Elephas maximus indicus: one gene and its partner. The protein of the gene in region 2 binds, or shares a complex with, the protein of the main gene of each other region. Links are inferred from orthologs where the notes say so. Each region holds a gene or a part of one and is shown on either strand. Other genes may lie near its edges.

Region 1 (7,058 bases), on a different chromosome or scaffold from region 2:
TGCTGGAAAGGTCAGGGAGCTGGGGCCTTCGGGGAGACCAGATCACCTCCACACTATGTTTATAACCTCATAACGAACCTTTTTGCTGACCACGGTTCCAATCTTACCATCAGCAAGAGCCCAGGAGAGAGCTCCCAGGAATCTTCCCATGGGCAGGATTGTTTCATTAAAGAGAAATCTGAGTATCTTAAGTCAATTGTCTCTTGCAGACAGCAGACCATTACAAAGTCTGCATCTACCAACAATAAAAGGAGCAAGCATGCCAGAGAAAAGTCAGCCTCTTATTAACCCGACACAGGTGCCAGGCCACCGCCCTTCTCCCAGGCCTCTGGCTGCACTGAAACACCTGGGGGCGTGGGGGCTTTTAAAAGCACAAAAGCCTAGGTCCTGGGCCAGACCTTCTGTACTGGCATCTTATACAGAGGGACCCAGGCCTGTGCAGGTTTTAAAAGCCCCCCGGGCAATCCGGCTCTCAGCCAAGGTGGGGAACCATTATTTCACTGTTGGCTTTATCTGAGAGCCCCTCAGGGGCCTGGCTCGTAATAACCTTAATCTGCGATGTCCTCAGAGTCCCTGGGTGGTGCAAATCATTAATGCCCTAGGCTGCTAACTGAAAGGCTGGAGGTTTGAGTCCACCCAGAGGCGTCTTGGAAGGCCTGGCAATCTACTCCTGAAAAATCAGCCACTGAAAATCCCATGGTTTTACTCCGACACACGAGGGGTCACTGTGAGTCAGAATCAACTCAACGGCGGCTGGTTTTTTGAGGGGGTGCCCTGCTCTGTACCCCAAGCCGTCCGCGGGTGAAGGAAATGTGGTGCAAGGGGGGCAACTCGGGCTGTGGCGTGTGGCTCTGAGCCCTGCCTGGACCTACGAGCTGAGGTGGGGTTAAAAACTTGGGCTATTCGATGACTTCCCTGCAATGCCTGAGACGCAAATGCCAGGAAATCCAGGCAGATGGGAGACATTCAGAAAATGAGAAGTTGCCTCAGGGCATATTGAAGCTCCCTGATCTTTGAAGTCTTTGATGCCAACCCAAAGCAGAAACAGCCACCAGCCTCACCTGCAGCCACCTTACAACTAGGCGGTCAGTGGGAAGGGGCAGGGAGCCAGGATGATGGGTGCGGCCGTGGTCCAGCTCCTTCCCAGTGGGTGCCTGAGAATGAGCCCTTGAGACTAAGGAGCCGTGTGGGTCCTCCTGAGCCTACCCCTGCCTGCCTGGCTGCTCTGCAGGGTGGGTGGGAAGGAGGTACTCCCTCTCTTTCCCTGCAGGAAGCCCACCTGGTTTCCCAATGAGAAGATTCTCTCGTGCTTCACCATATCTTGCTGAGCACCAAAGCCCTCACTGCCCCTAAGTCGGATTTTCTGGAAACTCCTCTCCAGCCACTCACACACCCAAGCCCAGGTGCCCTGGGCCATACCTTCCCACGGGTAGGAGCACTGAAAACTTCCCACCTGGGCAGCAGGGCAGCCCAAGGGCAACCGGGTGCAACCAGGAGCCGGGTGGGGTCTGAGGATGGGGAGCATTGCTGAACACAGGGGCAACAGGGAGAGGCTCGCTTGAGTCTGGCCATGAGGGGCCTGCCCCAAGCACCTGGCCTTGTGTCAGGATGCTGGGCTTGGTGAGGCTGAGGAGCAAAAATAACCCCATGGGGAAGGCTGAGGGGCTGCAGAGGTCCATCTGCTGGGTATTTGTTGTTTTGGTTAAACTGAATGGCCCAGGAAAAAAATACCCCCTTGGCTAACAGCCCCAAGGCCAGAGAGGCCTGTGAGCATCAGAGCTGGAACCTGCACTGCCCAGCTTTGTGTCTCTTCCTCCCTCCCATCGCCTGGGGACAAGGAGCCCTGAGGGCAAGATATTTGCTGGGGAGTTAAAGCAGCCAAACCAGCCCCACCCACCCCTGCAGTGACCTAAGTCTTCCGTTTGGATAGATGTCCTGAAAAAACAGTCACAAGGGGTAAAGCGCCAGGGGGTCCCCCTCCCTGCCCAGGCCTGTTTGTGGAGCCCCGTACAGGGCAAAAAGCCAGCCCACGGGGCCCTACTGAGGGTCTCCATGGCCTCTCTGGGTTCCAGCAACCTGCCCCAGTAGGGGGGCTTCCATCCCTCAACCCCCTTAATCAGGCCAACCCCAAATGGGCTGTTGGGCGAAGGCCAGGCCAGATGTCCTTCCTCGCCCAGCCCCAAGCCCAGGGGAGCCCAATTCCACCTCACCTGGAAAGTTTTTCTGAGGGTGCCCACCCCTCCAGCCCACCGAGGTGGATCCCCCCACCCCCACCCAGCGCTGTGCCCCCCTTCCCCGCCCCAGCACTGGCATCCGAGGGCGCGCCGCCTGCCAAAGCCCGATCGTTCCCTGGCTCCCTGATCCCGGGTTGGAGCCCCGCTGGGATTTCGGTGGAATTTTGAGGTCGAGAAACGTCTCGGCGAAGCAAGGGAAAGAAAGGGCACGAAGGAAAGGGAAAAAGAAAGTAGGGTTTGGCGTCAACTTGCAGGATTCCAGAGGAGGCGAGGGCCCTGGGGGAGGGCGCGGGGTCCCCAAGGGGGCGGTGGGGCCGCGCGGGGCCGCGAATGCTGCTCCTTACCTACATCTGCATTGCAAAACGCCTGTTGCGGGTGCACCGGGGAGCAGCTGCAGGCGTCGGCCGGGCGGAGCGGCGCCACCAGTAGCAGGAGGCCGAGCGCCAGGCGCAGACTGCGGGCCGCGGCGCCCATGGCGGGCCGGCTGCTTGCGCGGCTCGGCCGGGCTGCGCTGCGCCGCCTCTGGGCGTCCTCGGGGCGCGGGCCGAGCCGGGGTAGGCTCGCGCGGCCGGGCACTGGGCCCACGGGCGGCGCACCCTCCGCACCGGGCCCCGCGCCGCGCAAACTTTATGCGCTTTGTCCGGGCGCGGCTGGGCCGGCCGGGCGCTTTCCCGCGCGGAGGAGAGAGCGGGCGGGCGCCGCAGCCTGGCTCCGGCTCGGCTCGCTCTGCCTTCCACCGACCGTGTGGTGCGGGCTCGGTCGCGCGGGCGTTTTACTGAGCTCGAGGAGCCTCTGCTCCTCCTCCCGGTGGCTGGCGGCCAGTGCAGCGCGGGCTCCCAGCAGCCCCCTCCTCCGCGCCGCCCGGCCCTCACCAAAACCCCGGCTTTTGTTGCGCTCAGCCTGGCACCTCTGGGCCCTCCTGCGCCACTGGCCGCAGCCCCGGCCTGGGCCAGCCCGCTGCCCACCTAGCTTCCCACTGCGGGGGGCCGCTCCTCCCCGGGGCAGCCCCCCAAATCGCCTGAGGTTGGGGTGGCCTCCTCGGTGGCGGGCAGCGCCCGGGGGGCCTGACTCAGCACTTAGGGCTCCAAGGTCGGTGGCTCAAGGGCACCAGGCAGCCCACCGACCACCCCTCCCCTCCAGCTTGGTGCCAGGATCCACTGCCTGACCCCAGCCACCTTTGGGACCCCTTGGACATTTGGAGCCACCAAATGGAGCAAAGGGGACATGCCCTTTGGAATAGGGGTCATCCCTGCCGCCCCTCCTGTACCCTCTGTGGGTGGGTGGCCTTGGAGAAACGTACTAGGGCTCCTTTTTCCAATGGAGGCTTCAGAATTTTAACTGTGCTTGGCTAGTTTAGTTGGGCGAGGGGGGAGTGGTTACTGTGAACAAAACAGGATTTTACATAAACTGGCCATATTTTTGACCAGCCAACAAGGGCAGGGGGTGGGCTCAGGAGCCCAGGAGCCAGTAGGATCGCCTGGAAGGCAGCTGCTGCTCTGCTCATGGCTCCCTCCCTTAACCCACATATTTTGGAACTGAAAAGAACTTTTCCCAGAACAGTTCTAAGTTCTAGGAAAGGCGAGGAACTCGAAGGTGTGGACAACATGTCAAGTGTGGATGGCTGTGTAGACAATGGGGACAGGGTCCCTGTCTATCTGCCACTGAACCTGCCCTGTACCCCCTCTGTGCACACCTCTCTGCACCTCCACTTTGCACCCCCCTCTGCACCCCCTCTGTGCAGTCACCTCTGTGCCCCCTCTGTATACCCTCTCTGTGCACTCATCTCTGCACCCCATCTATGCACCCCCTCTGACACCCTCTCTGTGCACCCCCGTCTGCCCCTCTCTGTGACCCACCTCTGTGCACCCCCTCTGTATACCCCTTCTGTGACCAGCCTCTGCACCCCCTCTGTGCACCCCACTGTGTGCAGAGGGTGCTGAGCTGTTCTACAGGATGTCTTTCCTGCCCTCAGGACGTTTGTAATCTGGCAAAGGAGACGTCAACCCAGAAAACGACCCAATTAAACAGTAAGGGCCTGCGCAATTGAGTGGTGCTGACTGGAGACATGGAACCTAGGGAAATATTGGAAGAATGGAAAAATGTTGCCTTTTTGATTGTGTGTGCTTTCAAACAGGCAATTTGGAGAAAAGTTAGTATGCAGGGTAGTTGTTTTTTAGCACCCTTACAAATCCAAAGTCACTTTTTCAGCTTCTGTTAGCATAAAATATAGCTGCATCGTTCACAAAATATTTGATGCTAAATTTCTAGAGGTAATTCAGAAAATTATTACACTTCGGCTGCTCATAAGCGCTCTATTTCTTCCTTCCCTCTTTTCTTTTGCGTTCTAAGTGGAAGAAATGCTGGAGAGCTTTACGGAATCTAGAATCAATTGGTCAGCCTATAAGAGAAGCAGATAACTTAAGGAGTTCCCAGGCTTTTAGCCAAGATGTAAATGCAAGTGATCAAGTCTGTGTTAGCGTGGTCAGCACCTTAGAGGCAGGCTGGATGGTGCAAAACAGGAGTGGGGCCTCTCGGCCTGCACAGCAGAGGCACTGAAGGGCCTGGGTGGCTGCTTGGTTGGGGCTGACCTCTCCATGGAGACCAGGTCCCCCAGCCCCACAGCTACCCACCTGCCTCAGGGTGTCCCTCCCACCGAACCATCCCACCAGCACACAAACAGGCTGGAGTATCTCCCGGCAAGAGCTAAACAAACATCTTTGGACCCCACTGCTAACTGCCCCCGCCAGAGCGCCCCGTTTTTCAGCGTCCCTCTGCATAAATCTCTTGCAGATAAGCGGCTAGACTCGAAGTTTCCAGTTCTCCTCCCTTCTCTCAATCCCACTCCATTCTGGCTCCAAATTGCTCTCCGCGGAGGTCATGGGTACCAGAATCCCACCTGAGGGTACACGGTACTTGATGTACCAACAGCACTTGGCGAGGCGGATCACGCCATCCTCCTAGACCTGCCCTCCCATGCTTTCAGGACTTCGTCCTCTGCCAGCACACCTGGCTGCCCACACCCCTCCCCAGCCTCCTTTGCGGCTCCTTCTGGTCTCCCCAGTGTGGCCAGAGCTGAGTGCCCACTCTGGGTTCCTGGGCCACATTTATTTCTGCATCTCACGTGTCCAACCCTACCTCGTGTTCTTTTCACCAAACCCACTGCTGCGCCTCCCTGGCTCAGGAACCCAGGCACGGTACCTCCATTGCCTAGGTGCCCTCGTAGGAGCCAGGGGCTCCTCTAGCTCCTCTCTTGCTCCCCACCCTTCATCTGCCGGCCACACCTCTGCAATCCCTCCCTTCTCCCCACTTCCTGCTATCACACCTCCTCTGCTGGCCCCGGGTTCCACCTTGGCCCTATAGTCAATTCTCAACAGAGTGCCCCAGGGCGTGGGGGGCTTTGAAAATGTCTCCCCTCCCCTCAAAGCCCAGTGGTGACTCCCATGTCTTTCGGAATGAAACCAAGTCAGGACAGCGCCCAGCGAAGCCTCCGTGGCTACTTCCTCATCACCCCTTTGCTAGGAGGTCACCTGCAGCAGGGCCTTTCCTGACCAACCTTATTCAAATTACTACCCACCTTGTCCTCGCATTCCACCCTTTTTACTGCCCGGCGTTTCCATCACCACCTACTAGGCCCTGTATTTGACTTTTTATTTTATTTGTTGTCTATTCCCCATCCCACCACCACCACCACTAGCATATAAGTTCTGGGGGGTGGGAGGGGAGTGAGAGAAAATTACTGTTGGTTTCGTTTTTTTTTTTTTTTGTATCCCCAGGCCTAAAGGATAAAAAAAAAAAAAAGTTGCTGTCAAGTTGACCCCCGACTCATGGTGACCCCATGTGTGTCAGAGAACTGTGTTCCACAGATGTCCTAGTCACCTGCTGCCGCTATAACAGAAATACCACAAGTGGATGGCTTCAACAAGCAGAAATTGATTCTCCCACAGTCTAGTAGGCTACAAGTCCAAGTTCAGGGCGTGGGCTCCAAGGGAAGGCTTTCTCTCTCTGTCACATCTGGAGGAAGGTCCTTGTCATCAATCTTCCCCTGTTTTAGGAACTTCTCCACGCAGGAACCCCAGGTCCAAAAGACTTGCTCTGCTTCCGGTGCTTCTTTCTTGGTGGTATGAGGTCCCCCACTATCTGCTTGCTTCCTTTTGTTTTCATCTCTTGTAACATAAAAGGTGGTGCAGGGCACACCCCAGGGAAACCCCCTTTACACTGGATCAGGGATGTGACCTGAGCAAGAGTGTTCCATCCCACCCTAATCCTCCTTAACCACAGGCAGAGAGTATGATTTATAACACATAAGAAAATCACAAAAGGACTTAAAGCACAATAAAAAAAAAAAAAAAAATCACAGAAAGGAGGACAATCACGATACTGGGAATCACGGCCTAACCAAGTTGACACATATTTTGGGGACACGATTCAATCCATGACAATGGAGTTTTCAGTGACTGATTTTTCAGAAGTAGATTGCCAGGCCTTTCTTCCGAGGCACTTTTGGGTGGACTCAAATCTCCAACCTTTGGCTTAGCAGCTGAGCATATTAACTGTTTATACCACTCAGGGACTCCTAGAACATAGTAAAAAACCAAAAACTAAACACGTTGCCATAGAGCTGACTCCAGCTCATGGCAGCTCCGTGTGTTTCAAAGTTGAACTGCTCCATTGAGCTTTCTCGGTTGTAATCTTTACAGAAGCAGGTCACCAGGCCTTTCTTCCTCAGTGCTGCTGGATGGGTTCAAACCACCAACCTTTCGGTTAGTAACCTAGCGTAAATGGTTTACCCCACCTAAGGACCTTAGAACATAGTAAGGGCCCATG
Region 2 (7,076 bases):
CTTAGTTATTGTAAAATTGAATGGTGCTTATTATAGTGTGCCTGGTGGGGCACGAAAGAAATGCAGACATTTTATGAAGTTCTTCAATAAGGATTAGGACAAAGAGTGCTTCTCGTTACCACTCAGCTAATTAGAAATTTTAGTTACTTAGGATGTTCCATTTACTGCTCTATCTGGATAAACAAATTCTTCTGGGATAGGTGTTAGGTGCTGTTGAGTCAGTTCCAACTCATAGACACTATGTACAACAGAATGAAACACTGTCCAGTCCTGTACAATCCTTACAATCTTTGCTACACCTGAGCCCATCGTTGCAGCCACTGTGCCAGTTCATCTCGTTGAGGGTCTTCCTCTCTTTCACTGACCCTCTACATTACCAAGCATGATGTCCTTCTCCAGGGACTGACTGGTCCCTCCTGATAACATGTCCAAAGTACTTGAGACAAAGTCTCACCAACTTTACTGCCAAGGAGCACTCTAGCTGTACTTCTTCCAAGACTGACTTTTTCATTCTTCTGGCAGGCCATGGTATATTCAGTATTCTTTGCCAACACCATACTTGAAAGGCATCAATTCTTACTCAGTCTTCCTTAATCGTTGTCCTGCTTTTGTATGCATATGAGGCAATTGAAAATACCATGGCTTGGATCGGGCACACCATAGTCCTCAAAGGGATGTTTTTGCTTTTCAACACTTTCAAGAGATCTTTTGCAGCAGATTTGCCCAATGCAATATGTTGCTTGATTTCTTGACTGTTGCTTCCATGGTGTTCATTGTGGATCCAAGTAAAGTATAAAACCTTAGCCACTTCAATATTTCCTCCAGTTATCATGATGGAGCTTATTACGGTTGTGAGGATTTTTGTCTTCTTTATATTGAGGTATAATCCATACTGAAGGCTGAAGTCTTTGCTCTTCATTGGTAAGTGCTTTGAGCCCTTTTCCCTTTCCACAAGCAAAATTTGTCATCTGCATGTTGAAAGTTTTTAATGAGTCTTCCTCAAATCCTGATGCCATGTTCTTCTTCATGAAGTTTTTTGGGTTATTTGCTCAGCATACAGATTAAATAAGTACAGTGAAAGGATACACCCCTGATGCATGCCCTTCCTGATTTTAAACCACACAGTATCCCCTTAACCTGTTCTGATGGCTGCCTCTTGGCCTATGTGCAGGTTCCTCATGAGCACGATTAAGTGTTCTGGAATTCCCTTTCTTTGCAATGTTATCCATAATTTGTTATGATTCACACAGTCAAATGCCTTTGCGTAGTCAATAAAACACAGGTATACATCTATCTTGGATAGAGATGGGCATTATTTCTGAAATCATTTTGAGAGAGTTATGACCCACCTGTTTTATCCTCTGTCCATCGTTCATCATCATCGAAGTGAACATCTCCATTTATCCCTGGCCCAGGTGCATAGGCGTGAGCCACAGTGGCTCCAGGTCCATCAAAAGGGAAAAAGTCCCCATGTTCTAACAGGGAAAATGATTTTTTTATTGGAGAGATGAATAATTAGGATTTCTTTTTAATTTTTCCAAAAAAAAACCTGATACATGGATATATTTCATGTTTTTAAAAATAATTATTATTTACCTCTGACAGCAAAGGAGATCATTATGTCAGCCTCTCCATTATTCCTGGAGAATGTGAGAGGAGTCACCTCCTCCCAGACTTTCAGAGCTTTCTCAATGGCGGCATCAACAGCATCTCTTGGCAGATCCAGTGTATAATTCACAATCCTGTAAAAGAAAAATAGAAGGTAACATTTTCTCCTGTGACAGTAATTTACAGAGTATAATCTTATAATCTTATGTGAAAACCTATAAGTAAAAATTACCTGTAAGTAAGGTGAGTCTTCCTCCACTTTGGTGAGCTAGGAAAGGTAGTGAATTGACCGACATCGGGGACTCCACATCTGGGCTTGCGCATCACCTCCAGGGTGTTGGAGTCCAGCTTCCCCGTCACCTCCAACCCAAGGAACTTCTGCATTTCTTGAATTTTTCTAACCATAGGGCTGCTGTCCTTTCTTCTTACAAACTGTTTCACATCTTTTGCAAGGTCATAGTATTTTTCTAGATATTGCTTATGAAAAAATAAGCATAGATTTTAGGTAATTTTTACAGTTGCCTGAATGTCACAATTTAATTATTCTCTAGTTTATTGAAACCAAAGCAAACAGCACACTTAATTTGATTTTTCATGAAGACTCCTGATTTCATTATTTTATCTTTGTACTAAGTTTTAAATTTCATTGCAATTTAATCTGCTAGCCAAGTAAAGAATTTGAAGTTGAGAATTTAGATCCAACCTGTTTAAAAAAGAGAAACATAATTGTATGCATACTTTGAGCATGTCTAACTTTTTCCACTTTACGTTGTTAATATAAACCTGGTCAAGACTAAATGGGACAAATTCTTGTGTCCAAACATGACAACCAACGATATAAACATTATTACTTGGTATCATTGCAAGACTAAAATTCACATGTTCTCCCCACCCTGCTATTATTTTAACTAAGGAAATTCTAAAATCAGTTTTTCAGAAGCTTTCCATTTATTCTCTTCACTTAGTCCTGAAGCTGCCTGTAATATTTTATTGTGTGACCTTAAGTAATTATCTCTTCTTCCTGGGCCTCTTTTTCATTTTCTGTTAAAATGAAGGGACTTCCACTTCTAGCACTTTAATCTCCCTGATCCTAAGTTATCCCAACATAATAACCCCCAATCGAATCATTCTGCTTACAGCTGACTTTGAGTCTGGCTGTAATCCCCTCCTCCTCTGATTATCAAGCTGAAACAAACACACTTGTCTCTCCACTTGGACTGACCAGGGGCGTCATGGCCCCCACCATTAATTACCTGGACGAGATCCATGTTTGAATCCTCCTTCACTGCCCCAGCCAGTGGATAGGCCAAGCAAATTGGCAGACATAACAGCACAAGGACGACAAGGTGCCTCATTCTCACCATTTTCACCAAAGGAAAACACCTTCTGTGACTACTGGCTTCTCTCTCTACCTGCTAGTGGCTGGACTTATATAGGGCGACAAGGCTTATATCATCATGTGTGTTTGGTGACTAAGGTGTGTGTGTGCTCTTTCTTTTTTTTTTTTTTTTATCTGAATGAAACCGGAAAGGGTCACCAGAATTCAACAGGAAGATGATACAGACTCTATCAGTAATTTCCCTTGAACTTCGAAATGCACAAGAGAATGATTAATTTCTAGGAAGTGGCTTCTGTGTTTATGAAGTGGAAAAAGAAACTACTAGATCATTCATGTTTATGTGTTTATTGGTAAAAAGTCAAAAGTTCAGACCTTTCTAAATCTGTTCAGGTTTTTTTTAGGAATAGTTTATTTTAAGCTCAAATATAAGTGGGTTAGGAAAAAGTAGTTGAACGGAAGGAAATTCCAAATATAATTGTGGTCTAAATATGGAAACTTATCTCTAGGAGGATATTAGGAGAGGTATTTCATTTTTTGAGTCCTTGTTTAAAGCAGTTATTACAAGTTTCCAGATGGATTTACTGGCCCTGGAGGAGGAACACCGTGAGAAGGGAGTGGGCCATGGAAAAGAGGGTCTGTAGAGGAAGGAAGAATCACACCGATTCGTCTTTGGTTTTCATTCATTGTCCATTTCAGAATAAATGATATGCTCTTTGTAACTGCTTGATAAAAACTTGTCAAATTGCATATTAGAATGAAATGTTCCTCCTACCTTCCTCTTCTTTGTTGCTTTAAAAAAACCTTTTTATCTTCTTTTCCTCCTACTAAAGGACAAAGAGGAGATGGATTGAAATTTGTGAAGGGGAATAATTTCAAATACTCCTTTTCCGTCACATATCTAACCATCTACTCCTGTCCATCAATAGCATTTTCTCTCTTTTTTTCCCCTCAGCCGAGTGCTTTCACATTGTAAGTCTGGGATAACATTTTTGTCAAATTAATCTATTAATATAAAAGACAGTAAAATTCTTTTAAGATAGAATTATCTTTCTTTTTCCTCACTAAAGATAAATGAACTCTACCATACCTGGAATATGCAAAGGAATAGGAGACTGAATTTATGGGTGTGCAGGCATGATCCCATCAGCACCACCAACTATCTTCACCCTACTTGAGATTGACTAGACAAGATGGAAACTTCAGGAACCTGGAGGCTCTAAAACCTTGCACCAGAATTGGAAAGAAATCTGGATGGGCACTGATCGGCCCATGTCAACCTGTGGCTTAATATAGCCAAGGGTTTGCTCTATAGTGTGGTGCAGTGGAAGGAACCTCAGCTTGAAAACAGAGGGAAAGGGGCTTACAGCCAGACTCAAAGTCAGCTGGATGGCTTTGAGCAAATATACAAAAATTGTTTTGGGAACATTTTATTAGCTTTAGGTGAAAGTTTACACAGCAAATTAGTTTCCCATTCAATAAATAAGACACAGATTGTTCCTGACATTTGGTAGCAATCCCCACAATACGTCAGCACTCTCCCCATTTCCATCCATGTCAGGGAACCTTCACTCCATATCACTCCGTGTTTGCTGGCTTGGTTCTTCTTCCAAATGTTGTTTGAATTCTTTACCATTCTTTTTGATGTTCAGGGTTCAAGGATTGTCATCTGCATCTTTTTTATTTGGTTTCTCGTGTCTTTGCTGTACAGGGATGGCATAATGTGTTTGACTAAGTTGCCATCTTTAGGTTAAATATATCTAATTTCTGAAGGACATTGTTCTTTCATCTATAAAAATGGTTTATAAGAATTACATGATATGTTACATATAAATTGTCCTTCGCTTAGCCAGTGTTCCATAAATATTAGTCCTTTAACTTCCCATATGGATTCTCTTTTTTGCTTTCTTTCTCCCATAGTTTTCTAGAAAAGATTTGAGGGATTTCACTCAGTGCACAACACAGTGGTATGCAAAGTGTGGGCTGTAGGAGTGGTCCATGCTGGGTAGAGGCAATGAGAGAGAGTATCAGCCATAAAGAATTTAAAACAATAATAAGCCAAAAAACCAAATCCATCGCTGTCAAGTGATTCAACTCATAGTGACCCTATAGAACAGAGTAGAATGGCCTCATAGGGCTTTCAAGAAGCAACTGATGGATTTGAATTGTGGACCTTTTGGTTAACAGCCATGACACTTAATCGCTGTGCCACTAGGGCTCCAAAAATAAGGGCAATTAAAATTTGGTCTGTTTTACAGGGCAAATGAAATATAAACAATTAGTGATAAAAACAACAAAAGGGGAGGAGAGGATTGGTATAGATATAGAATTTCCTGTATATTATTTAAGATGGCACCAACTTACCTAGAATGTTATAAATACAAGTTCTTATATACAATATTCAGAGTAACCAGTAAGAAAATATATTTAAAAAAATACACAAAAGGAAAGGAGAAGGGAAACAAATAGACTCACTACAATAAACCAACAAAACACAAAAAGCAAGCACTAAAGGACAAAGACAAAGAAGGCTTAAGACATTCAGAAAACAAAAAAACAAAACGACGTAAGTTACCTCTCATCAACAATTACAGTGAATGCAAATGGTCTAAATGCTCTAATCAAAAGGTTGACAGTGGCTGAGTGGATTTAAAAAAAAAAAAGGTATGTTGTTTACAAGAGCCACAATCCAAGGACATAAGCAGTTTGAAAGTGAATGATGCAGGAAGAATCAAAAGAACCTGAAAGGATGGAAGGAATACACAGGGTCACCGTACCAAAAAGTATTGATCGATGTTCAACCATTTCAGGAGGTAGCATACGATCAAGACCTGAGGGTGCTGGAGCAAGAAGTCCCAGCTGCACTGAAAGCACTGGCGGAAAACAAGGTTCCAAGAATTGACAGAATACCAACTGAGATGTAGCAACAAATGAATACAGTGCTGGAGGTGCTCACTCATCTATGCCAAGAAATTTGGAAGATAACTACCTGGCCAATCAACTGGAAGAGATCCATATTTGTGTCCATTCCAAAGAAAGGTGTCAAACGTAATTTTAGAACAATATTGTTAATATCACACGCAAGTTAAATTTTGCTGAAGATCATTCAAAAGCTCTTGTAGCAATACCTCAACAGGGAACTGCCAGAAATTCAAGCCAGATTGAGAAGAGGACGTGGAAGGGTGATATCATTGCTGATGTCAGATGGATCTTGGCTGAAAGCAGAGAATACCAGAGAGATGTTCACCTGTGTTTTATTGACTATGCAAAAGCACTCGTCATTCATAAAAAATTATGGAAACGTTGGCAAGAATGGAAATTTCAGACCACTTAATTGTGTTCATGAGGAACAGACCAAGAGGCAGTTATTTGAACAGAACAAGGGGATACCGCCTGGTTTAAAATCAGGAAAGGTGTGAGTCAGGGTTATCTCCTTTCATCATACTTATTCAATAAATATGCTGAGCATATAATCATAGAAGCTGGACTATATGAAGAAGAACACAGCATAAAGATTGGAGGAAGACTCATTAACAACCTGCAATATGCAGATGACACAACCTTGTTTGTTGAAAGGAGGACATGAAGCACTTACCAATGAAGATAAAAGATCGCAGCCTTCGCTATGGATTACACCTCAACATAAAGAAAACAAGAATCCTCTCAACTGGACCAATAAGCAACATCATGAGAAATGGCGAACACATTGAACCTGTCAAGGTTTTCATTTTACTCGGGTTCACAAGCAACACCAACGGAAGCAGCAGTCAAGAAATCAAACAACATATTGCACTGGGAAAATCTACTGCAAAAGACCTATTTTAAGTGATAAAAAAGCAAAGACATCACTTTGAGTACTAAGGTGTGCCTGACCAAGCAACAGTATTTTAAATCACCTCATATGCATGTGAAAGCTAGACAATGAATAAGGAGGACCAAAGAAGAATTGATACCTTTGAATTATGGTATTGGCAAAGAATATTGAATATACTATGGACTGCAGGAAGAATGAACAAATCTGTATTGGAAGAAGTACAGCCAGAATGTTCCTTAGAAACAAAGATGGCAACACGTTGTCTCACATACTTTGGACATATTATCAAGAGGGACGAGTCCCTGAAGAAAGCCATCA

The links. Proteins that work in one complex are often made in the same cells at the same time.
Region 1: the proteins of MMP10 (region 2) and TIMP2 are in contact, whole or in part, in a crystal structure (PDB 4ILW), measured with the Homo sapiens proteins. The link is inferred for Elephas maximus indicus from reciprocal best matches to the Homo sapiens genes MMP10 and TIMP2. Residues at the interface, in NP_002416.1 of Homo sapiens: Glu155, Asp169, Phe170, Tyr171, Ser172, Pro176, Gly177, His178, Ser179, Leu180, Ala181, His182, Ala183, Tyr184, Pro185, Pro188, Gly189, Leu190, Tyr191, Val214, His217, Glu218, His221, His227, Pro237, Leu238, Tyr239, Phe242; in NP_003246.1 of Homo sapiens: Cys27, Ser28, Cys29, Ser30, Pro31, Val32, Gln36, Ala37, Asn40, Ser57, Gly58, Asn59, Asp60, Tyr62, Asn64, Pro65, Ile66, Lys67, Arg68, Thr91, Ala92, Pro93, Ser94, Ser95, Ala96, Val97, Cys98, His123, Leu126, Cys127.

Annotation. Positions count from the first base shown.
Region 1 is NC_064837.1:68,805,115-68,812,172, forward strand, and holds the start of TIMP2 (metalloproteinase inhibitor 2), read right to left. Parts: upstream 3,013-7,058; 5' UTR 2,709-3,012; coding exon 2,579-2,708; intron 1-2,578. UniProt on the Homo sapiens protein: Complexes with metalloproteinases (such as collagenases) and irreversibly inactivates them by binding to their catalytic zinc cofactor. Known to act on MMP-1, MMP-2, MMP-3, MMP-7, MMP-8, MMP-9, MMP-10, MMP-13, MMP-14, MMP-15, MMP-16 and MMP-19.
Region 2 is NC_064825.1:17,872,765-17,879,840, reverse strand, and holds the start of MMP10 (stromelysin-2), read right to left. Parts: upstream 3,009-7,076; 5' UTR 2,973-3,008; coding exon 2,862-2,972; intron 2,086-2,861; coding exon 1,841-2,085; intron 1,743-1,840; coding exon 1,597-1,742; intron 1,476-1,596; coding exon 1,350-1,475; intron 1-1,349. UniProt on the Homo sapiens protein: Can degrade fibronectin, gelatins of type I, III, IV, and V; weakly collagens III, IV, and V. Activates procollagenase.